Callithrix jacchus: one gene and its partners. The protein of the gene in region 1 binds, or shares a complex with, the protein of each later gene. Links are inferred from orthologs where the notes say so. Each region holds a gene or a part of one and is shown in the gene's direction. Other genes may lie near its edges.

Region 1 (5,585 bases):
CAGTGAACAAAGACAGAAACCCATGTTGTCATGGGCTGACATTCCAGCAGAGGAGACAACCAACTAGCAGTAACTACAATTAGCAACGATCAGTAAGTTAAATGCAGACAGAGTTGGGTAATATGGGAGAGAGATGTTTGCTGCTTTCCTACGGGTGAGCAAGGGAATTATTTCACTAAGAAAGTGACATCCGTGTAAAGCCCCAGAAAAGGGAGGAAGAGACAGGTGCGGTGGCTCACGCCTATAACCCCAGCACTTTGGGAGGCCGAGGTGGTTGGATCATCTGAGGTCAGGAGTTCAAGACCAGCCTGGCCAACATGGCAAAACCCGCCTCTACTAAAAATACAAAAGTCAGCCGGGCAGTGCATGCCTATAATCCCAGCTACTCAGGAGGTTTACAGGAACCCGCAAGGTAAAGGTTGCAGTGAGCCGAGATGGTGCCACTGCACTCCAGCCTGGGAAACAAAGTGAGACTCTGTCTCAAAAAAAAAAAAAAAAAACAACCTATTTAAAAAAAAGAGAGGGGGGGAGGAAGGGAACTATAAGGATACCTAGGGGAAGAGTAAGTTCTAGACAGAGGAACAGCCAATGCAAAGACCGTGAGGTGGGAGCACACCTGAGAGTGTTCAGGAACAGCAGGAAGGCTGGCGTCCAAAAAATAAGATCGTGGAGAAAAAAGCTGTCTGGTCCGGCACGGTGGCTCACGCCTGCAATCCCAGCACTTTGGGAGGCTGAGGCAGGAGGATAGCTTGAGCCCAGGAGTTGGAGCAGCCTGGCCAACATGGTGAAACCTTCTCTTTAAAAATAAAAGAAAAATGCCAGACGCGGTGGCCTGCACCTATAATCCCAGCACTCTAAGAGGCCGAGGCGGGTGGATCAACTGTGGTTGGTAGTTCAAGACCAGCCTGGCCCATGTGGCGAAATCCTCATCTCTACTAAAAATACAAAAAAATTAGCCGGGCATGGTGGTGGATGCCTGTAATTACAGCTACTCGGAAGGCTGAGGCAGGAGAATCTCTTGAACCCCGGGAGGCGGAGGTTGCAGTGAGCCGAGATCGTGACATTGCACTCCAGCCTGGGCAACAAGAGCGAAACAACGTCTCAAAAATAATAATAATAAATAAAAATAAAATAAAATAATTCTAAAAATGGGACGTCAGGTGTTTGTTTCCAATATTTTGACTAGTTATTTTTTTAAAAACTTATTTAAAAATTAAAGATCAAACAGTATTAGGTTCCCAGGCTCAGATAGACCAGCGTTAAAAACTCATTACCTTCTTACTATGATGTCAAGCCAGCTATTTCACCCTCTGAACCTGTTTCTTTATCTGTAAAACAGGTATTAATTATATTATACCACAGGGTTGTGTATGCAGCGAGAAAAATGCAAATAAAGCATTTATCCAGGTGCCTGGCTCCGAGTAAGTGCTTAAGAACTATTTCTGGCCATAATTAACCCATTACTCTCTCCCAGCCCCTAACTCCTTTTAGGGGGAAGTTGAGAAATCGGTATCACACGAAAACAGTCATTTCCCCTTTAAGGACCTCAGTGGGCTGGGAGCCAGCCTTCCCGCACCTTTTCCAAAATTTCCAATCCCCGCTTGGCATTTTCTGCCCGAATGTCATCGATTGGACGCTCTGCACCAATCGGAGGCTGGAGCGGGCTTGGAGAAGCGCCGGTTCCGCCCCCACTCTGGTCCTGCCCACTGCCCGGTCAGCTTCGTTGCTATGGGGACTGGTGGGCGGTGAAGGAGGAGGGGGGGAAAGCCCCGGATATTCGTTGGGGATTCAACATGGCGGCAGCAGTAACCGCGATGGCGGCGGCGCAAGAGAGCTGAAGGAGGCGCGAGGGCGTGGAGTTCCAGGCGAAGCATCTAGGCCGCGAGCGACTGCGGTGCCGAGCCGGTAGGATAACGCGTCCAGCCAGGGGCTTGTAGTGGGCCTGGGGCTGGCGGCGGGACAGCATTTCCGCGAGGAGGGGGCGGGGCCGCCGGGGTCAAAGTTCACTGGTGGAGGGCAGGGTCGATTCCGAGGGGTCGGGGGTTAACGCTGACTGGAGGGAGGGGTAGTGGAGCCCGGAGGTCAGACTAGCGAAGGGGGCGTGGCGAAGGGGAGTGCAAAGTTTGAAATTCGAATTGGGTGCGCGTTCGAGGGGATCTGGGCAAATCTCAATAAAGGTAGGGTCAAAGTTTATAATTTGAGGGGAGGCTGCGCCTACGAGGGTCAGAGGTCACAGCCACGGGGGCGCCAGGTTGGAGGTTTAAAACTGCCCCCAGAGGAGCAGATGAATGAGTTTTAGGTTCGGGGGCATCTTTTAGGGCATCAAAGTTGGGGCGTGCCTAGAAGGTGCAAAGGTCAGAATCTGACAGTACGGCAGGTGTTTTCCAGACTCAGAAATTAAAACCCAAGGAGGAGCCTATTGCAGGGGACCGGGGGCCGGGTGGGGAATCCAGGGGCGTGGTTAGAGATGCTTCCTGGTGGCTGGAGAAGGGGGAACCCTCCCGCAAATAATAATAATAGGAAACACTAATGAAGCACTTACTATGGGCTAGACCCTCTTTTTAACACTTTGCTTGTATTGGCTTATTCAGCCCTCACTACAGCCTTAGAGGGTCTTAACCTGGTGTTAAGAGGTAACGTGATTTGCCCAAGGTCACCCGATGCATAAGTTGTGCGCTGGAATTCCAACTCCGGAGTTCTGGCCCAGAGCCCTCCTCTGGCCGACGCCTCTGAAGTCATCAGAACGTCGGTTAACGTTTAATGAGGGCTCACACCGTGCTCCACACCCTGTGTGCGCGGCGGTCTTATTTCACTCCTGCTGCACTCTTGTGAAGTGAGTGCTCAGGACCAACCTACTTTACAGACGGGAAAAGTGAGGCTCAGAAGCTTCTGCTGAAGGCAGAGTGAGAATCGAAGCTGGGCCTGAGTGATTCCAGGGCTCCTGCCCCTGGTTGCCACCTTGTCCGCAGCCAGCCATTCGGTCTCTCCTGGAAGCAGGGGGCTGGGCAGGGCCGGGCTACTCCCTGGAAAGGATCAGATTGTCTTGGTTTACTTGGAAGGGTGTGATCTGGCAGGGAAGATTCCTGTGTGCCTCTGGGAGTGGGGTGTTTGTGGGTGGCCTGGAGTCCGAGTGAGGGAGTCAGATGAGTTTCTGACTGGGGAGGGTGTCCCTGGGTGGTACCCCAGGCAGAGTTGGGTGTTCACTGTTCTTAAAACCCTAAGCTCTCACTGTGGTCCTGTCCCTCCCACCTCACTTCTGTGGCTCTGCCCGTTTCTCCCTGGCCTGTTTGCTGTTCTCTAACTCCGGGCCTGCACCTTCCGCCTGTTCTCTGACCTTCCTGTTCTTCTGCTGGGAATCCTTTACCCACCCTGTCCCCTGTCACTGACAGGTCGCTCACTCTCAGCTGGCCTGGTACCACCCTGGCTCACACTGGCTGCAGGCTCTCATTCTGTCGTGTGCCCAGCCCTTCCCTCCCTCCTTACCTTGTTTATTAGGGTGCCTGCGGAATTGCTCGGTGGGCTTCCTTGCCTCGGTCCTGGTCCCGCTGAAGCCCTGCCTGGCCTGCAGAGGATATGACGTTGCTGGGGGTTGACTGTTGGGCACTGCACCAGGTGCTGGGAGTGGGGCAGGGGACAAGACCCGGAGAGCCCCCAGCCTCAGCGGGCACTCATTCCCCTTGGGAGCAGAGTGGAATCAGCCCCTCAGCCAGCAGGGAGCTGGGAGGGTGCCCCTACCCTGGGCTGAAGCCCAAGTCCCTTTCCCCTAGGAAGGCTCTGAAGGATGAAGAGGAGGGCTGGGCATGGGCTCAGAGGAGCAGTGTGCAGAGGCCCTGCAGAGTTGGGGATCCAGGGCAACAGAGTCTGTGCAGGTTCCTGGTGAGACCCTGAGGGGGCTCTCATCCTGGGAGGGACAGTGGGAGCAGCGGAGGGCTGAGGAGTACCGGTGTGTGGAGCTTCGTGAGGCTGTGATGGAGTGTGATTCGGAGAGCAGTGCTGGGCCAGCGATGCCTGGTACATACCCTGCTCCATCACTCACAGGGTGCGTGAGGACCTCTGTTTCCTCTTCTGCAAAATGGGCATAGCGTTAGCATTGCCTCATAGAATTGCTGTGAGGATGCCAGGTAGAGAGCTGTGGCCCAAGGCCCCGCATCCAGTAGTTGCTGTGTAAGCATTAGTCTTGCTGCTGCCTGGGGAGAGACAGTGGAGACCCTTGCTTCTCCTGCCTCTGGCTTTCTCTGGCCGCCACCCCATCCCCACCTGGCTCTGGCAGGGTCGGGGAGCCGGCACACTGCCAGGCAGCCCTCTGAAGCTGGCCCAGACTCCCAGCCTTGCGGTGCCAGCTCACTCAGCATCTCGGCGTTTGGCACAGATAAGGAAGGATAGGGTTTGGGCATTGGAGACCCATATTCAGGTCCCTCCCTTGTCACTTACCAACCTTGGACAAATGATTTCTTATTTGCCACTTTTATTCCTTCGACACACTGGGCTAGGGGAAAAAGTAGAGCTTTCAGTATAATGAAACACTGATGCATCCAGCCAGCCTCTGGCCTGGGACAGAGCGCACCATGATACGGTTAGAGGCCAAGGGTCTCCTCCTCACACCCCTTCCTCCCTCCCTTCCAGGGGCAGCCACTGTCCTGGGTTTGGCAGTCGCCATTCCTCTGCAGCCTTTCATGCTTTTACTGCCTTTGGATGTATTCACCAACAATAGCTCTTGCCCCTGGCTGCACAGTGGAACCCCCCCAGAGAGCTTTGAAAAGACGCTTTGGCCCAGGCCCACCATGGAAATTTTCTTTCCAACTTACTTGGTCTGGGCTGAGGCTGGCCTCAGTCTTTTGGAAGCTCCCTGCCTGGGCAGTTCCTTCGGCCAGCAGAGGCTGACCACCGTTTCACAGTTCAGATAAATGGTGTCACCATAAATATGTCATTCTACAACTTGCTCTGTTTGCTCAACATTTTAGGTGTATTTGAGATGGGGTCTTGCTGGGTTGCCTGGACTGAACTCTTAACTCCTGGACCCAAGATCCTCCCACTTCAGCCTCTTGAGGAGCTGGGATTACAGGCGCACACCCCTGCACCAGGCTTTGAGCTGAGCCTTGGAGTCTGGCTCTCCCTCCGTGGGGATATGTGGCGGTCTGGGCCAGGCCATTCATTTTTTTCTGCTGCTATTTCTTTTTGTGATGGTGTCACATGGGAGTTGGCTCTTCACCTGTTGATGGCCGCTGAGGTGCTCTCCTGTTGGGGCTGTAATGGTGCGGTGACAGGCCTTCCGGAATGAGTATCCTTGTAGACCATGGCCAGAGTCTCTCTGGCGCGTGCCTAGCAGTAGAAAAGCTGGAGCCCTTTCCTTGCAGTTGCCAAGTGACGCCCCCAGCGGCTGGACCACTGTGCTCCCAGCAGGCTCCAGGCCTCCCTTCCTTCCAAGTCCTGCTTTGCACAGCTCTGTGGCCCTCGCTGAAATGATTTCCTCCGCCATGAGATGGGAGGTTTATGGACCCACCCACCCACCAGGCTGGTTGGAAACAGGTGGGGAGATGGTTCACATGACTGGCTTAGCCGGGACCTTGTCCCCACCGAGTCCCCAT
Region 2 (5,701 bases), on another chromosome or scaffold:
AAAGTGCTAGAATTAGAGGAATGAGCCACATGCTGCTGGCCCCTTTATTTATAATCACTGCCTCGAAAACTGGGATAAGAGTAGCTCCAAGGCCACTGACCTGAGGGGCAGGTAGCTCCAAGATAAACCCAGGGCAGTTCCTGTAAAATGTTTAGGGACAAGCATTTTCCATCAAAACAAGCATGAAGATATTAAAGAATATGTTAACCCAAAATATCTGAGACTGGTCTCAGTAAATTTAGAAAGTTTATTTTGCCAAGGTTAAGGATGTGGCAATAATGGGAAGTCCTGATATGTGCCCAAGATGATCGGGGGGTACAGTTTGCTTTTATACGTTTTAGGGAGATACGAGATACCAATCAATATGTGTAAGATGTACATTTGTTCGGTTTTGTAAGACAGGACAACATGAAGTGGGGGCTTCCAGGTTAGAAGCAGATAAGAGACAAAAGGTTGCATTCTTTTGAGTCCTGGATAAGCTTTCCACAGAATAATTTAGTCTGGCTCAGTGAATCTGTATGTTCACACAAACAATAGGGAGGAGGGAGCAATCGGATATTCTTTTGTCTCAGATGAGCCTCAGAGGGATGGCTTTGAGTTCTGTCTGTCCTTCCTCCACAAGGACTTCCTGTAGGCAAATTGTGAGGGAGGTATGTAGCTTCTTAACTTTGTAGCTATCTTATTTAGGAACAGAATGGGAGGCAGGTTTGCCTGACATGGTTCCCAGATTGACTTTTCTCCTGGCTTAGTGATTTTGGGGCCCCAAGATTTATTTTCCTTTCACAAATACTATAAAGGAGCTTGCTATGGACTGCTGCATCTTTGCACCCAGGCACACTATACTGTACTTCAAGAAGTTTACTTCCTCAGGAATTGAGGCACCACCTTGTTAGAGTTTGGGAGGAGGTGACAAATAAAGGTTAACATCCAAACTCCTTAAGCTGGGCAGGTAGGACAGTTTTCCACTGGGCCCTCCAAGCCATTCTCCCACCTGGTCCCTGACCTACAAAGGTGAGACCCCTTTGTTCTTTAGCCCTTACTGCTTCCGTTTTAGCCAAGCCATGCTGCACTTTTGAACAAGGCATCCCAGCTGTCACTTCCTCCAGCAGTTAACCCCTCTGTCCCTCCGTTTCCTCAACTGGATAACGGTAGGGTTTATCGGGAGGATGAAATGAGTTAATAAGGGTAAAGCACTTAGAACAGTGCCTGACTGGCAGTGAGCTCTCTGTACGTGGTAGGTATTCTATTGTAACTTCCCCTACCTTCTCCCTCTTGACTACAAACCACTTGCTGTAGCCAAGCCAAACCCAAGGGATCTTTTGCGGCACCAACTCAAGAAGACCCCACCCCACTCCTCATTGGCCAATTCAGATCCAGCTCATACGTAAATGATAAATTGAAAGCCTGAGGACATGCTTTTGAGTCTGTTTGATCATGGAAACTGACAGGTTATCAGTAAGGAAAACGAAGTATAGCGGCATATTGGCCAGTCTCAAATCCCTGAAAGGTGCAAACGTTAAAAAGTGAAAAGGGGCCGGGCGAGGTGGCTCACGCCTATCATCTCAGCACTTTAGGAGGCAGACACAGGAAGACTGCTTGGGCCCAGGAGTTCGAGATTAGCCTGGGCAACACAGCAAGACCCCCATCTCTAAAAACATGTAAAAATTGTCCGGGTGTGGTGGTGCTCGCCTGTAGTCCCAGAGACTCAGGAGGCTAAGGCAGAGGTTCCCTTGAGTCCAGGAAGTCCAGGCTGCAGTGAGCCGAGATTGGGCCATTGCACCCCAGCCGGAGTGAGAGCGAGATGCAGTTAAAAAAAAAAAAAAAAAAAAAAAAAAAAGGTGAAACCTAGGTTTTACCTGTGCCTCCACGCCCCACTGTGCCCTCCCTTGCCCATCCAGAAGTCGCCTTGAGGTTCCACGCACGGGCGGCTACGTCCCACCTTGGGCGAAGGCCGCCGGCCGTGCGGCTTTGGGAGGAGGAGTGGCCCCGGCCCGACCCCAGTACCTGCTCTCCCTCTCGCAGTCTAGCAACTGTCTTTGGCCCAAGTAATATCCGCTCCCTTCCCGTGGCGACTGGGGGCTAAGCAACCCGAGCGGGCTCTACTCAGTGTTTTCGAGCCCCCCACGCCTCCAGTGAGCCGCAAGCGACTTCCACCTGGGCCAGTCCGGCCTCCGCGTCCCGGGCCGGTCCCCGCACAGGGCGGAGCTGGCCCGGCCCGGAGCTCGCCCCGCCCCGCCTCGCCGTAAGCTGACCGTGTGGCGGCCGGGCGGGGGCCTGGCAGGGGAGAGAAGGGGAGGAGAAAGGAGAGGAGGAAAGTGGAGCCTGGCGGGCCGGAGGGAGGAAAGGAAGGGGCGGAGGCGAAGGGCAGAGTGTGCCGGCGCGCGGGGGAGCCTCGGCGCGGGGCGCGTCTAGGAGCCCAAGTCGCGGCCGCGGAGCGGAGCCAGCCCCTCCCCTGCCTAGAGCCGACCGCCAGGGCCGTCCCGAGCCGCGACACCCCAGGCGTCCCGGCCCGCCAGCCAGGGCAGCCGAGGCCCCGGGACTCGGCCGTGAGCGCTGCGGGAGGGATGGTGGCGGCGGGGCGCGGGCCAGAGCGGGCGCCGTGAGCCGGAGCTGCGCGCGGGGCATGCGGCTGCGGCCCCCAGCCCTCGGCCCCCGCGCTCCGGCCCCCGCCCGCCCGCACGCCCCCGCGGAGTGCAGCGCCCTCGCCGCCGCTGAGGCAGGCGCCCCACCATGCCGCGGGCCCCAGCGCCGCTGTACGCCTGCCTCCTGGGGCTCTGCGCGCTCCTGCCCCGGCTCGCAGGTAAGCCGCGTCGCCCGCGGTGCCTAAAGAAACTTTGTCGCGCACACAGCCGCGGGCGGGCGTCTCGGAGGGGCGGGGAGCGCCCCCGGGGCAGTCCCTGGTGGGCCAGTCGCTTGGGGACAGCCCCGCTGGGCTCTCCCGAACTGCGTGCGCCAACCCCGGCGCGCAGTCCCGCCGGGCTGTCGGGAGTCGCCTGTCCCCTCCCGGGCTGAGGAGGAGCTTCCCTTCCTGTGTAAACAGCCCGGCCCGTCTGCTGACCTAGCCCGTCCGCGCCCGCGCCCAGGGCACGGGGAGGACCGCCACCAGCCCTGACTTAGGGCCCGGGCTCTCCGTTCACGGGCACAAAGCGACCCTTGTGGCCGGCCGGGGACAGGCAAGGGGGGGTGCTGCTGGTGCCCGGTTCTCGGGGAAGCAAGAGAGACTCGAAGCCCCAGCCAAAGCCCGGGGCCACCTCCGCTCCGGAGGGCTCGTCTCCTGAAACGCGGGGGCACAGGGCCCCGAGCGAATCCTGGAATTCGCTGCGCCTAGACCAGCCGCCTTCGTTTGAAGATGCAGCCCTCTCCCCGCCTGCTTCCTCCTCACCCTCACCCAGAAAACCGCAAACCCGAGGGGGAACCTGCGTCCCAAACCGCGGCCCCACCTGGGACTGTATCATATTCCTTCTGCCCGACTTTCTCCCGAGATTTGCACACACTCCGAGCCTCACACTCCCCTAACTGTGGTGGATTCTGGAGCCGAGGACAGGGGCTGTGGAAATTGCCTTAGCCCGACGCTGTCGTGGGTTGGCATCTGCGAGGATCCCTCGGTTACCTGCTCTTAGTTTTCGGCGTTGAGAGAGGACCAGACGTGGCAGTTCGGAGGCCCTCGAGGAAGGATGCACTTGTTTGGGATGCGGACTTTCTCCTTTCCTTTGGGAAATAAGAGTGCTCTATTCACTTTCCAGCCGGAGATACTCGATTGCTCTTGTGAGCCAAGTGGTTGCCTGGATGCCAGAGGGGAGGACTGTTCCCCCAGGCTGTCTCATTTACATGAAGGCTGTGGAGGTTTAGGTTTAAGAGTGGAAGAGGGGTCTGAGTAAACAAAAAATTTGTTCAGACCCTACTTAAAACGTAATACTGTAGCAAGGTTTTGTTTTTAGTTTTAAATGGGAAAATAACTCCAGAGCTTGGAGTAGATGTGTGGATTCCAAACACCCATCCGGCAGCCAGTGCCCATCATGGATATTTTCATGGGTCCCTAGGGAAAGCAAAGAGAAGGGAGAAGTATCCCGCAACACACGGGAATGTATTGTTGTCAACACTTCCCTGCTCCACAAGGACTTTCCTTTAGTTTGAAAGTAGGCACTTTTTCTTTTTTGGGGGGAAATGTTCCTTTAATACTTTTTAGTGATAATAGATTTTAATTTTGGCAAAATAAGAAAATCTGGCAATCCTATGTTAACCTCCCCTTCTCTTTTTCTGTTTCTTTTTTGTTTTTAAATCCTAGTTTTCTTTGAAAATCAGAAGTTTAGAAACTGCCAAAGGAGATGGCTTCTAAGTTCCTCTCCAGCTTGACATTCTGTAATTCTGATAAACAGAATTATAATAATTTCCAGTTGCAATTTTTTTTTTTTAAGTCAGAGTTTCACTCTTGTAGCCCAGTCTGTAGTGCATTGGTGCCATCTCGGCTCACTGCAACCTCCACCTCTCAGGTTCAAGCGATTCTCCGGCCTTAGTCTCTGGAGTAGCAGGGATTACAGGCACCACCAGCATGTCTGACTAATTTTTGTATTTTTAGTGAAGTCAGGGTTTTACCAGGTTGGCCGGGCAGGTGTTGAACTCTTGACCTCAGGTGATTTGCCTGCCTTGGCCCCCCAAAGTGCTGGGATTAAAGGCATAAGCCACCGTGCCAGGCCGCAAATAATTTTAAAAAAATACATTATTTTCCACTTGCATCGTGCTTTCTGTTTTTCAAAGTTCACATCTTCACAGTGATGTCCATTTTCTCACCTGGGCTCAGGAAGGAAGTGACTTGCCGTTCCCCTGTACTTGGATCAGGAGTGGTGAACCAGGGACAGGGTTGGTCCAGTGCCCTTTGTCCTATCTGACTCAGCGTAGGGAGGAGAAAAACACTGAGCATAGTGGTTCATTTGCAACTCTTTCGGGTTCCCTTTTCCCATGGCTCATCTCTCTCTTTTTTTTTTGAGACGGAGTTTTGCTCCTGTTGCCCAAGCTGGAGTGCAATGGCACCATATCAGCTCACTGCAACCTCTGCCTCCCAGGTTCAAGTGATTCTCTTACCTCAGCCTCCTGAGTAGTTGGGATTACAGGCATGCGCCACCACACCTGGTTAATTTTGTATTTTTAGAAGAGACGACGTTTATCCATGTTGGTCAGGCTGGTCTCAAACTCAGGTGATCCGCCTGCCTCGGCCTCCGAAAGTGCTGGGATTACAGGTGTGAGCCACCACACCCAGCCTCCGCCCATTTCTTTGACCACCGGTTTTGATGGTGGTAGTGGAGCAAGCCATGTCACTGGCCTCCAGAACTTGCTGCTTACCTCTTAAGGCCGTGAAGCTTCTCAGGGTTAGCAGAGGCTGACTCACATCTGTGTGATGTCTCCTAGTTTCTCCGTGTTGCTGAATTAACTTCAACATTCTGGTATTTTTTTTCTTCCCTCACCTTCTTCTTGAAGCACTACGGGTACTTTATTCAGGGTGTGTTTCTGTCTTGCTACGAGAAACATGATTTGAAAGAAAAAAACTTACTCCGAGAAAAGAAAGATGACCCTCAAGGCCATGCCTGCCTGGGTGTCCCTGGACCAGTGGCTGAGTGGCTCTCTCTGTTACTCTAACCTCACTTTCATCTCAGTCAGATTTCCAACGGGAAACTGACCTTAGGTTTCAGGGACTTATTTCAAACAA
Region 3 (5,001 bases), on another chromosome or scaffold:
TGGCCAGGGTGGTCTCAAACTCCTGACCTCATGATCGACCTGCCTCGGCCTCCCAAAGTGCTGGGATTACAGGTGTGAGCCACCGCTTCCGGTCTATGTTAATTTTTTAAAAGTTTTCTAGCCAGGCATGGTGGCTCATGCCTGTATGGGAGGCTGAGACAGGAGGATCGTTTGAGCTCAGGAGTTCGAGACCAGCCTGGACAACATGGTGAAACCCTATCTCTATTTTAAAAAAATACTAAAAATTAGCTGGGTATGGTGGCACATGCCTGTAGTCCCAGCTACTCAGGAGGCTGAGATAGGAGGGTCACTTGAGCCCCAGAGATCGAGGCTGCAGTGAGCCAAGATCGTGCTACCACACTCCAGCCTGGGCAACAGAGTGAGGTGCTGTCTCAAAAAAAAAGTTGTCTTCATTTGCTGTCTCTAGGTCTTCAGCCCTCACTCTCTTCTCTACACATTCTAATAAGGTTCGTCCATCTCTACACAAAACTTCCCTTGTCGGGGTTCCCAATGACCTATGCACTGCAGAATCCAGTGGTTTGTTCTTCATCCTCACTGCCTTGGCAGCATTCAGTGCTTGTTCCCCTTGGCTCCTGAGTCCCCACGCTCTCATATTTCTCCTGGCTGTTCCTGCTCAGCCTCTTTGATAGTGCTGCTTCATATCTCCCCTACTTCCACCTCGTGGAATGTTCCAGGACACGATCTTGGTTGCTGTTCCCCTCTGTCTGCATTCATCTCCCACCCCACCTCATCCGGGCCTATGGCCTTACATACCATCCATTCTCTCCTATGCCTCCCAGATCCAAGGCTCCAGTGCTGATCTGTCTCCTGAAGTCTAGAGTCATACACCTAGCAGCTGACCCTGCAACTACACTTGAATGTCTAACAGGCATCTCAAGGGTTACATGTCAATAAATGATCACTGAATTTTCCTCTCCAAACCCACTCTTCTCCAGTCTTTCCCAGATCAGTTTATGGCAATTTCATCCAACCAGCTGTTAATGCCAGAAATGTAGGAGTCATGCTTGACACCTCTCTTTTCCTGCCCACATCCATGCATCAGCAAGACTTGACTTTGGCTCCAAAACATACCCCAAAGTGACCCCCTTCAGTGCACTTGCCCCGTCCAGGTCTAGGTCTTCCCCTTCCTTGCCTGGATTAGGGCAGGGGCCTCCACTCTTATTGCAGAATCCTTTTCTGAAAGCAGCTGGAATTATCTAAACAAGGGCTAGCCCAGGCGATTCCTGTTCAAAGGCCCCCATTGCTTCTCATCACACCAAGCCTGGTTTTGCTGACCTTTTCCTTCCTGCCACCACCAACAATCACAGACACCTGGACCTTCTTTATGTACAGTTCCTGTCCCTCGGGGTCTTCTCCCTGGCTGCTCCTTCTGTCTAGAATGCCCCTCTTCTTGAGTGCATCCTGATGTCACCTCCTGAGACTGTCCTTCCCCAAGATAGCCCACAGCCCTCATTCCCTGGTATTTTCCTGTTGCTGGTATGTCCAGTCTGTCTGCAACTACACTACACTTAAGCCTAGCCTGTGATGATAGAGCAGCCTCAGGAGACAGGCTCACCCCTGTACCGACCCTCAGCTTGCACCTGGTACCGGCAGAGGGAATGTCATGGTCGCGTGTCGCCGCTGGACTCGCGGCTAGCCGAGCACTCCCCACTAGAGGGCAGTCCCGTCTAGTGGTTGGACGCCCTCCAACTTGGTTGGGACGCGACTGAGGCCCCGCGGATGCGCTGCCACAAAATCCCGCGCTCTCTGAATCCTCAGTCGGGCCGAACCCCACTTCCATCCCGTCCACGGAGCGCCGAGGGCAGCCTCAGGAACAGGTCCCGTGGGTCAGAACCCTAGTGGGCCACAACCTCTCTGGGTCCGACCATCCTTGGCGCTCTGCCTACAGGCGGGCGCAGCACGGCGCCCCGTGGGAGGGACCGCTATTCCACCATAGAACAAATGGGGAGGGTGAGGCCCCCACAATGAGGCGACCTGCTCTGCGTCACGCAGCAAACGCAGGGTCTGCTCAACTGTCTGGGGGATCGAGGGTCCCCGGCCCGACCCAGTCCGACTTCCAGCTACGACCCCTCCCTTCCCCCCAAGAGCCGCGGCGGAGTCGGGAGGGATGCAGAGCTTTAGCCCCGCCCCGTTTGGCTGCGGGGCCGGGGCGGGGCGCTGATGCCAGATGTCCGGGCGGCTGCTGCAGGAGCTACGGAGAGCGAGGAGCCGCGCAGCCAGGCGGAGGCTGAGGGCGCCGCTGGCCGGCCCGCCCAGCCCGCTCAGCGCCGCTCCGCCGGGGTTCCCAGAGCAGCTGGCAGGCTCGGTGGGGACCTCGGCACGGACATGCACAGCGCTCGGCTTGACAGCTTCCTCAGCCAGCTCCGCTGGGAACTGGTGAGGCTTGGGAGCGGGTGCGGTTCGTGAGGACGCGTGCGGGGTGCCAGGCTACCGCCCGGCCCGAACACCAAACGGGTGCTGGGTGGATGGTGTGCCCCACCAGTCCGAGGCAGGGTGGGGGCGGCGCGGCGCCTATGGCCCAGATGGCCCGTGTTGGGTTTCGGACAGTTGGGAACTGCGCTGGGCATCAGGTAACAGAACCCAGCTGGCCGTGCTGCTGGAACTGCGCGGGAGGAGAGAGTAGAAAGGGGACTTCTTTGGGGACGGGGCATGGGGCGGCAAGGGACTCACGAGGTGCTGGCGCTGCTGTGAACGCCCCCTACTTCAGGCTGGTTTGTGCCTCCCTTCTCTACCCCTCAGCTAGCAAGCGATCTTTCTCTGAAAGACGCTTCGGGGAACTGAATCCCTCAATAGGCATGGGATGCCCCTCCAGTCCTGGGCAAGACCTACTTCCCCGTTCAGGCCCGCAACCCTGCCTGCCCGCCTGCCCGCCGGCCCTGGTGGCGGGTGACGACTTGCCCGGCCCTACGTGCTGCAGCCTGCCGGACTGCCACCAGGTCGGAGGATGAGAACCACACCAGCTTCAAGTGCCAACACCCCCATGCCTGCCCTGTGCTCACTAGCACCCGGCTGAACCCTCTCTTTTCTGGGCTGGCCTGGCAGGCAGGCAGGAAGGGGTGACAAGTGATACCTCTCCGACTTCTACCCTCTCTTCCCCTCAGCTGTGTGGCCGGGACACAGGCTCACCCCCAATGCCTGGCTCCCTGCAGCCAACCCCCCAAACTGGCCCAGATGTGCAGCCCAGCCACCAGCTTAGGGCCTCAGGTGCCTTGGAAGAGGACTCAGTCTGCTGTGTGGAGGAGGAGGAAGAGGAGGAAGCAGTGGTGACAGAAGACAGGGGCGCAGCCTTGGGAGGCCCCAGGGAGCATGCCCTGGACTGGGACTCTGGCTTCTCCGAGGTGTCGGGCAGCACATGGCGAGAGGAAGAACTGCCTGTACCCCAACGCCCAGCACCCTCAGCACAGCCCCTTTGTAGGCAGCGCCTCTCAGTCAGTGGCCTCCCCATGGCTGGCAGAGCCCCAGTAGCCAGTGCACCACCTAGCCGCCGTCCACGGCCCAAGTCCACCCCAGACGCCTGCCTGGAGCACTGGCAGGAACTGGAAGCAGAGGACTGGACAGCAGCCCTACTGAACAGGGGTCGTAGTCGCCAGCCCCTGGTACTGGGGGACAATTGCTTTGCTGACTTGGTGCACAACTGGATGGAGCTGCCTGAGACAGGGAGTGAAGTGGGTGACAGAGGTGGGCCCCGTGCCCGTGCTCGACCCCCTCAGTTCCTGCTTGGCCTCTCTGAGCAGCTTCGTCGCCGGCTGGCCAGGGCTCGGCGGACAGCTATGGCAGGAAAGCGGCTGTCATGCCCACCTCGCCCAGAAACTGAACTGCCTACAGACGTTTCACGCTTTGCAGCCCTCATGAGCTGCCGAAGCCGCCAGCCCATCATCTGCAATGATGTCAGCTACCTCTGACCCTGCCTTCCAGCCTGGGACAATAAAAGCCTTTTTTCTAGACTGTCCTGGTTCCATACCCCTGAAGCGCTAAGAGGCCATACCCCTGAGGCGCTAAGAGGCAGCCCCAGCCCTGTGAGGCACAGCCCAGGCATACGAATCTACTGAAGAGCTTTTTGTTTCCGTGTGAGGGTCCCTGTGTTGCCCATGTCACACCCGTGTGCATTACTGCATTGTGTTCTATCATCCATCCTCTCCACTATGCCTTCCTTCAACAGCATTTATTGAGTGCCTACTGTGGGCTTACAATGGAGGGCTTGGGATATAGGGCTCCATTGAGCTAGGTGACGTGGTGGCTGCCTTGTCACAGCTCATAGTGCAGAGGTGGGAAGGCAGTGTCCTCCTCCTCATCCTCACAGCTCAGCTGCAGCACCAACACTCGCAGCCCAGGAGCAGGTACCTGACCTGTCACCCGCTGAACCAGTTCTGTCACCCTGGTGGGGGTGGGGTTTAGGGAAGATTGGGTAGGTGAGCAATGGCAAGCAGAGGGCAGACTGGCATGGACTAGGGAGGGTGCTAGCGGGCCGTCAGGAGCCCAGGCCAGGAGCAGGAGCCGCTCAAGACAGGAAACATCTGAAACTATTTTAGGAGCAGCTGGTGAGGCAAGTGGGAGGCAGGAAGCTGTGGGTCCCTTGGGAGTGGGCTGTGAAAGGGGCTGTACAGCATGTGGGGAGCCTGTGGGGCTGGCCAAATAGGCAGCTCCTGAAGGCTCCTCCTCAGGCTCTCAGCCCTCACCCCACCCCCAGCCCATTTGCTGGCTCCATTTGGTGAAAGAATGCTTGGGAGGTGTGAGGGGCCCAGAATGGGGCTGGGAAGCTGAAAGGCTGTGTGGCCCCTAGCCCCAGCCTCCAGGGACTGGTGGGGCCTGTCTAAAGCCCTGAGTGGGCTCACCTGAGGGGCAGGCACTGGGCCTGCTTTTCAGGTGACCATCTGGCTGAATAGAGCAGGGCTGGGTGGTGCAGCAGCATCCTCACCCTCAAACCGTGCTGCTCCTAGAGGGAGAAAGGTCAGAAACCAACTGGGCCAGGCTGGGCTGAGC

The links.
Region 2: the proteins of PAK4 (region 1) and ITGB5 are in contact, whole or in part, in a crystal structure (PDB 7S46), measured with the Homo sapiens proteins. The link is inferred for Callithrix jacchus from reciprocal best matches to the Homo sapiens genes PAK4 and ITGB5. Residues at the interface, in NP_001014831.1 of Homo sapiens: Gly330, Ser331, Gln358, Arg359, Leu362, Thr404, Lys442, Ser443, Asp444, Asp458, Phe461, Leu475, Val476, Gly477, Thr478, Pro479, Tyr480, Trp481, Met482, Glu507, Glu512, Phe516, Asn517, Glu518, Pro519, Pro520, Met524; in NP_002204.2 of Homo sapiens: Ser762, Arg763, Ala764, Arg765, Tyr766, Glu767, Met768, Ala769, Ser770.
Region 3: the proteins of PAK4 (region 1) and INKA1 are in contact, whole or in part, in a crystal structure (PDB 4XBU), measured with the Homo sapiens proteins. The link is inferred for Callithrix jacchus from reciprocal best matches to the Homo sapiens genes PAK4 and INKA1. Residues at the interface, in NP_001014831.1 of Homo sapiens: Ser331, Gln358, Arg359, Glu361, Leu362, Thr404, Asp440, Lys442, Ser443, Asp444, Phe461, Leu475, Val476, Gly477, Thr478, Pro479, Tyr480, Trp481, Met482, Arg489, Glu507, Glu512, Phe516, Asn517, Glu518, Pro519, Pro520, Met524; in NP_976248.2 of Homo sapiens: Gly178, Arg179, Ser180, Arg181, Gln182, Pro183, Leu184, Val185, Leu186, Gly187, Asp188, Asn189, Cys190.

The regions. Positions count from the first base shown.
Region 1 is NC_133523.1:34,652,021-34,657,605, forward strand, and holds the start of PAK4 (serine/threonine-protein kinase PAK 4), read left to right. Parts: upstream 1-1,775; 5' UTR 1,776-1,905; intron 1,906-2,041; exon of another isoform or gene 2,042-2,177; intron 2,178-5,585. UniProt on the Homo sapiens protein: Serine/threonine-protein kinase that plays a role in a variety of different signaling pathways including cytoskeleton regulation, cell adhesion turnover, cell migration, growth, proliferation or cell survival.
Region 2 is NC_133516.1:78,129,630-78,135,330, forward strand, and holds the start of ITGB5 (integrin beta-5), read left to right. Parts: upstream 1-2,366; 5' UTR 2,367-2,730; coding exon 2,731-2,800; intron 2,801-3,081; exon of another isoform or gene 3,082-4,136; intron 4,137-5,701.
Region 3 is NC_133516.1:32,415,181-32,420,181, forward strand, and holds INKA1 (PAK4-inhibitor INKA1), read left to right. Parts: upstream 1-2,216; 5' UTR 2,217-2,346; coding exon of another isoform or gene 2,347-2,397; 5' UTR 2,398-2,486; coding exon 2,487-2,591; intron 2,592-3,122; coding exon 3,123-3,923; 3' UTR 3,924-3,966; downstream 3,967-5,001. Other genes in the region: UBA7 (ubiquitin-like modifier-activating enzyme 7), read right to left, coding at 4,267-4,396, 4,854-4,954. UniProt on the Homo sapiens protein: Inhibitor of the serine/threonine-protein kinase PAK4. Acts by binding PAK4 in a substrate-like manner, inhibiting the protein kinase activity.